2 linked regions of the Bombyx mori genome follow. The protein of the gene in region 1 purifies or fractionates together with the protein of each later gene. This does not show direct contact. Links are inferred from orthologs where the notes say so. Each region holds a gene or a part of one and is shown on either strand. Other genes may lie near its edges. The genes, in order: cap-specific mRNA (nucleoside-2'-O-)-methyltransferase 1 and putative pre-mRNA-splicing factor ATP-dependent RNA helicase PRP1.

The links.
Region 2: the proteins of cap-specific mRNA (nucleoside-2'-O-)-methyltransferase 1 (region 1) and putative pre-mRNA-splicing factor ATP-dependent RNA helicase PRP1 purify together in Homo sapiens (co-immunoprecipitation; 3 studies listed by BioGRID and IntAct, with this or other methods). This does not show direct contact. The link is inferred for Bombyx mori from reciprocal best matches to the Homo sapiens genes CMTR1 and DHX15.

What each region holds. Positions count from the first base shown.
Region 1 is NC_085114.1:10,493,886-10,497,721, forward strand, and holds part of cap-specific mRNA (nucleoside-2'-O-)-methyltransferase 1, read right to left. Parts: intron 2,772-3,836; coding exon 2,546-2,771; intron 2,456-2,545; coding exon 2,341-2,455; intron 2,233-2,340; coding exon 1,989-2,232; intron 1,913-1,988; coding exon 1,812-1,912; intron 1,192-1,811; coding exon 1,076-1,191; intron 51-1,075; coding exon 1-50. UniProt on the Homo sapiens protein: S-adenosyl-L-methionine-dependent methyltransferase that mediates mRNA cap1 2'-O-ribose methylation to the 5'-cap structure of mRNAs.
Region 2 is NC_085130.1:9,705,871-9,709,706, reverse strand, and holds part of putative pre-mRNA-splicing factor ATP-dependent RNA helicase PRP1, read right to left. Parts: coding exon 3,172-3,836; intron 2,278-3,171; coding exon 2,141-2,277; intron 1,010-2,140; coding exon 872-1,009; intron 1-871.

The sequences.
Region 1 (3,836 bases):
CATCAAAGGGCTTACTTAGGGCAGTGCAAAATATGTTGCATTGGTTTATCCTGAAAAATCATATCATTAGGTGTGTACCTGTTCAAATATTATAAGAAACTTCTAAAACCCTTGTGTTCCTGGAACACGCCTATTGGAAGTCTAAAGAAAGTAGAAAAATAAATAAACTAGGTATAAAATAGTAATAATGACTTATCGTTTTTGTAAATTAATATTTCGTGAATAGTATTTACTCCGGTTTGCAGTTCACGTGCAACATTTTAATAGTTGTTGTAAAAAATGAAATGTTTGTAAAAATCCAAAATTGGGTGTTTGGTTACCTCGGAAACGAACAATTATTACAATTACAAGAAAATTGTGCTAAAATAAATATACTACATGAATCAACTATAGAATTATTTTGTCCGTGCAGTTTGGGTCATAAAACATAGCTCGGCTAGGGCGGTGAGCATGTTGCGCGGGCGCAACGCCATTATCGATAAAAAAAATGAGTATCGAAGGCAGGTACACGGCGGCGGGGTGGTACACGAAGGGTGATGAGACATTGTTAAGTTATGAGTCATTTGTTGTACCTACCTGCAAATTATAGTACGTCGAAGAGAAATGTGATTTTGTGCATTCGCTCTCTGAATCTCTGAATCTGCTTGCACAAGCAAGTGTTATTATCAATAATGTGTTAAAAATTTTCACTGAAATGAGAATGGATCTCGAAAAGTTACAAAGTGTTAATTTCTGCCGTTCTCGTTAACTTGCTGCGACGATATGTGGTGTAACGGTTCGATTAGTGATTTTTTCTTTCATTTTTATCACTAACCCACAAAATGACAAAACTAAATACACTATCGATAGCGTTTATCGACAACAATAATGCGCATTACTATGCCCGTCCATAAGACTCGTGAGTGAAAGAGAGCGAAATACTCGCTTCACCGCTCCGATTTTTTATGACCCAAACTGCACGGACAAAATAATTCTACTATAGATATTTGCTTAATTATTGTGCATATATTTATATATATAAGAACGCGATTAAATTCGCATGAATGTGCATGTGTGTGTATAATCAAATACTAACCTTTCATTCAAGGGGTATCCAGAGATATCAACTCCTCCCAACATAAGTGCGTCCACAATATGTAAAGATTTGCTGTACATCTGATTGTTGCCTTGGCCACGATATTCTTTAACAATCTATAACAGCGAAAGTTAGCATTTTTATGGCTGTAATAATAATAAACCCCCAGGTTAGTGATAGTAAGAAAAGACGATATTACTATTTTCTCCAACATGGAATTTGATGTGAAGGCAACGATTGTGAGTGAGGCAGACCTTTTAAGATAAGGAGGCATATCGAACTTCATGAAATACTTTTGCAAAATTGTTGAAAACAAAATAAAACAGAATAGGGTTTATTTCTTCTTTTATATAAAAAAAAACTGTTTAAAAAAAATAGTTAACATAATTAAATATTTACTGATTGATTACGGTATTCTTAAATGTATTTTTTATATAATTAGTCTTCGCTCAGTGATCAAATTTCCACCTTAGAATCGAAGATATTAAAGATTCAGATTAGTTATATGTATTAAAATATCGCTTTTAATTTGTTATTGACATTTCATAAAAAAAACAATGGTTTGTTAATATGTTACATAATCGTGATGCAGACAAATACAAAACCAAACTAATAAAAAATCGTGGTAAACATCAAAAATTAATGAATTGGAGTCCGATGTACCTGAGTACAAAGATTTCTTTTAGAATTTAGTATAGATAGATGAATAGGTAATGGCAACTCATTTAAAACATACTTCTCCGTAAACCAATGTTTTAGCTGGTAGTGTTATTTGCAAATCTAAAACGCTTCTCCATCCGCTTGATTCTAGTTGAAAAACTTGTTTTCCACCGCAACCTGTACATGAAATACAATCTAATAAGTTCGGAACACTACTTTAAATTGGTAAAGAAATTGTACAAAATTAATTTACCTATGAATATTTTTAAATCGGGACTATTTTTACCGCCGCTCAGGAACATGAAGTGCCAGTCGTATACATTCTTGAAATTTGTCAAATCACCTTCCACCTCTATGTATTCAGGTTTCTTGTTTAATATATTCGTTTTGAAATTGAACAGACTGTGAGGATTGGGTGTTTTTAATGTGGACAAAATGTTTTTTAATGTTTCATCGGGATTGAGGCGTTTTGGTTGAGTTCTGACTTGATCTGGCAACTGTAACCGAAACGGATTCTTTATATTTATCCTCGCTCGTTAAAACCCAAATAACTTAGGGAAACTGTAAACTCATCATTTGTACGGTCGAGAATTTGAAGCACTTACATTCCAGAGTTGCAAGCACTGTTCTTTCATTTCAGCTTGATAAATTTCTTTCAAAATTTTGTGTTTGCTAAATGCAGCTATCTTAAGTAAATTTTGTATTTGCCTTTCGCCGAGACTAAAAATAAGTTGGATCGGGTTAATTGAACAAAGTTCAGACAAATAAATTCAATATTGGAATATTACGACATCTAATTATTATACTAACATGCAGTTACTCTTGTAAACGTATTCGAAAAATTCAGTATCTTCCTGTATGATGTCAATAGGAACTAGTTCTAAAATATCAATATCACTGTTAGTACTGTTCCATAGGATCGAGTTCACAGTGTAAAGGTGATGTTCTGCTGACTCGGTCCATGACCTCTTCCACAGACAAATCAGGTACCTCTCAGAATTTGCAGGTCTGGAAGTCACTGGTTTATGAATACAAACTAAAACATAAACATATTCATTTATTAATGTACGCCAACATAGACAACGGAAACCGCCAATAACATCAGAGAATTCATATTTAATTTATCTATCACACATGCTTTAAGTATATTACTAGTAAACTTTTTGTTTTCTTTAATTCAATAAATTCATAATTTCTTTAACTTAAAAAAAAATCATGCATACACGCAATATAATAAGATACTCGCTTGAGTGACACGGTTCCCGAGGGGTTGTGCGATGTGGTTTTGGTACGATGGTTAAAATGTAGCTACATGACATCACTTGTTAAATTATTTCTATTTAATTCTTTTCAAAACCCGTTCATCACACTAAAATTTAATGATCTATTGTGGCCGATCAGCTGACTGCCCTCTCCAAGAAAAATAGCTATCTACGTTAATAGTTAATATCGTGCGATTCTCTCGTACCCGCATATGTACCTACATGTGCGGTTACACACATGTGACGTCACCAAATTCCCGACCCAAAGCTCAGGGACCGTCTCATTGAAGTGGCAATACAACGTTATTTTTAGTAAATACGAAACCCGAGCCCGGTTTTCTTTAACTTGGTACTTTTCAATAAAGTAGCAACGGCTACTGCTATAAATGGGTTGCACAAGTTACTAAAAATGTCGTAGGTTAGATTTTAATCTCTTAGCATCTATGTAGATGTTATTTATTTGGTCTCTAGCCCAAAAACAACATGGTTCAGTATTTTGTGGAGTCATAAACTCGTGAAGCAACCAACATTAATTATTGTTTCGTATTGGCGTAGAATGTTGCGGCGGAATATTTCGTTAGGTGACGTCAAGAACGTGTTTTGGAGGTCTTTTCGTTGGATTGAATTAGAATTAATAACTGATTATATACTGGTATTTCGTTGAGTAGTAATGAAATTTTTAAGCTGTCATAATAAGGGAACAATACGTGAATCATTTCAACCTTAGTGACACTCTATGAGTTTTCTTTATATTGAATTATTTTCGTATCGATTTTTCTTCTAAATACGTTGAGCTGTTCCGGTGTGAGCGGGGATGCACATTAAAAATCATCTACTTT
Region 2 (3,836 bases), on another chromosome or scaffold:
CGCTGTCTCTTTCGCATGACGGTGACGTCATAAGCGTTCTTCGTTTAACAAAAACAATAGCTTGTGACTCCCATTGATGCATAGAACAAATGTCATCGTTAAAACTTCCTTCATTGGGTTTGAAACAGGCCCCTAGTTTTATGACAAATGTGGTGAGGAAGCGTCAGTGCTGGGAGGGGTCACTCAACTCCGCACTCTTCAACAATTTTTTGTCTCATGCTCCATCGATGAGCCATGTAACCATTACTTATACAATATCGTATCAAACAAATTATTTCTATGAGCTTATGGTGCATTCAGCTACATGATGCTTGTCTTATTTGCAATTGTAATCGCATCATCCTTATTCGATATATTGTAGTTTCAGCATTTTGACCTAGTTGCCCAGTATATTCTCCAAGTTAAAAGTCTGTAGATATTGAGGCTACCCCCAGTTCAGGAGTTGGACAATTTATTAAAATTAATTTCTATTAAAACAAACTAGTGAAGTGTGGCTTGTGATTTTTTCTTTAAATAAACAGACAGTATCGTATACCCAACAAGAAATCACTTAAAGCAAGTCAAATACTATCTGGGTTTTTTTTCCTACCTAAGCTGAGACCCTTGAGAGGCTATTTCAGTGTAACCTTAACTAGTAGGTGAGCTCACGGGGCTCAAACCTGACGTCGTTGCTAACACGAACCCTAGCAAGAGCCGTGCTTCGCAGAATCTACCACCGGATTGAAAACGCGACCCACTGAGAAGATCCGGCGAGAAACTCAGTGGGCTGTGTCTGTGGGTTAATTTACTCGTCGAGCCCTTCGTCGCAAGCGACGGGTTCGACGAGAACGATGACCACGCTATCTGTAAGCACAGATATGGAACATCCTACCTGACAGCATGGCAGTGATGGAGAGGATCTCGTTGGAACAGTTGTGATTGCAGCTGGCTATCAGCATCTTGGCCAGCTGTGGGTCGAGGGGGAACTCCGCCATCACAGCACCCAGGTCAGTGAGGTTACCGTCATCATCTGTGGAGAATCAAATGACAAATGAACATCATGAATAATAACCCATCTGTCTCGACTGGTGTTAGGTCGTCTTGTGAGCTCACGCGAGTAGATACCACGACCATGACTATTTCTGCCGTGAAGCAGTAATGTGTTCCGGTTCGAAGGCAGCCATTGTACTGTAAAACGTATACTCAGAACTCATGTCTCAATGTAGATGGCGAAATTTACGTTATTGATGGCTGAGGGCTCTGGTAGCCACTTAACATCAGGTGGGTGATAGACGCCCACAGATTTAAGCAAAAAAACTTAATTCATGGCAGGCCATGCAGAGCCTGCATAGGTCTGTCCTCACTGCATACATCTATAAATCCATTGAATGGTCAAAATTCCATTACATTTCTGTCTTTTGTTTTGTTATTGTCATTTCTTCATGAAGTAAGTAAGGCTAAGTATTTCCAACTTTTATTTATTACTAACAGTATCCTTACGAAAGCTTAAGAAAAACCACAAAAAGAATAGACAAATGGTATATTATGATTGTTTTGTCTTTGCCTTTTTTAGTGACGTTACAATTAGACATGCCACGAATATTCGGTAGTCGGCCTATTCGGCCACTTTGTTTGGTATTCGGTATTGGGCCAAATAATAGGTACTATTCGGCCCAATACCGAAAAATGAAGGGCAGGTCTCAAATCATGTTTCGTCAAAAAACTCGAATAATGATTTTTGTTTATTATTTTCATTACAAATCTCATAATATTCCCATATGGCCGATTTTTTATTAATTGGTGTCATTTTTTAATGAACAACAATTGAAAAAGAACTGACGATAAAAGTTTTCTACAAAATCGTAATGTTTCATTTATATTGATCTGACAAAGCGTGCCGTGACGTGATTTACTCGCAACTGAAACAGTCTAATGGCCGGACACCGCCCGCACACGATGGAGACAGGTCCCAACCGGTCATATTATTCTTTACGCGCTCGACTAACTAGCATGTACTTTGTGCCGAATATTCGGCGCTTCCGCCAACAGCGTTGCCGAATATTCGGTATTCGGCCAAATCACTATTCGTGGCAACTCTAGTTACAATAATCCATGAACGCTTCTAAAGTAATTTCAAAAACAATATACAGCACAAGCTCACCCAGCGCAGCCAGATAGTTGAGCAGCTCGAGCGCCCGCATGAGTGTCTCCGGAGCCGGTGGATCCATGAAATCGAAATGCACCAGGTCATCGATGCCCAACTTCTTCAACTGCAAAACTACAGATCCTAAGTTTGATCTGGAACGGGCAACGCAGTCGTATTATTAGATTACAACTCACTTCATTACCCGAACAGGACAAACTTAAAGGGGGTGTGATTTTAGCATATTGACATGACAGTAACAGTACTCTTAGACTTCACCCATTCAATAGCTGAGATATTTAGGGTGTTAGCTTCTAGAACTATGTTAGTGTAATTCGCTGTGTAAGAGTCAGATAAAGTCAGGAAAAAATTCTCAATTTTTCTCGTTTCATACCAAATTCCATACATTTTTCTGGTTCCATTGAAAGTGATTCTTAGGCTTTTTAGTTGTTTTGGAATTTGTTAAATATCAACTATACCATTACGTCGTTTTGGCAATTCATAAAATACTATATTTTGAACAGTTTCATGAAAAAAAAAATTTTTTTTTTGTGGGTATGCGTTTGGTCTGATTCTTATACCGCGAATTGTAACCCATTCAAAATTATATTAGAGTAGAGAAACATTGTCGTGCTCTGCCCACTACACCGACTTGTATGAAAATATATTCTAGAAACTATATATAGCCTATATAGCTAGCTTGTTGTTTCTATGACGTAAACCTATTTTGGAAAAAATATCCAAGATTCGTCACAATTAATGATTTTATAGCACATACATTTTTATTTGGACTACTAAACAACAAGTAAACTTTATACACAATTGACAGTAATATAAAGTGATGATTCTCAGCAATTGACAGTGACCACACCCAATCAGACAGAAATAATGATGCACATGAAAAGCTATAAAATATAGACAAACAGAGCTTATCTTGTTATTATATAAGAATAATAATTGAACATTACAACTGTTAGTATAGAAATAAATACAGTATTTACTCACTACATTCGAAACGGTAGTCACATACAAACCGTTATAAAAATTACCTCAAAATCTCAGGATAAGTATTGTCCTGCATTTCATCCTTGTATGCTTTCTCAGTATATAACCGGAAGCACTTCCCAGGTCTAGTTCTGCCGGCCCTCCCCGCTCTCTGTTGGGCTGATGCTTTACTTATCGGAGAAACCAATAACGATTCCACCCTTATACGGGGATTATAAACTTTTTGTTTCGCAAAACCTGGGTCAATGACAAAAACAACACCATCAATAGTCAGAGATGTTTCAGCGATGTTTGTGGACACTACCACCTTCCTGCCGATGGCTCCGTTTGGTCGATTTGGAGGTGCCGGCTCAAAGATCCGTTGCTGTAAATTTGGCGGCAATGTTGAATATAACGGTATGCACTTTAGCTCTCCTGCATCAGTTCCCAGATTGTCTATTTCTCTTTTAATTCTCTTACAAGCATCCTCAATCTCCTCTTGTCCAGTTAAAAATAGTAGTATATCACCAGAGATCTCTTCACACATATGGATTTGTATTACAGTCCTTATCGCAGCTTCTAGGTAATCTCGTTCAGGTTGTGGAGTGTAAAATATTTCTACCGGATGAGTCCGACCAGGAATGTTCATTAATGGAGCATTGTCAAAATAATGCTGGAACTTTCCAGCATCTAATGTGGCTGACATAATAACGAGTTTCAAATCGGACCT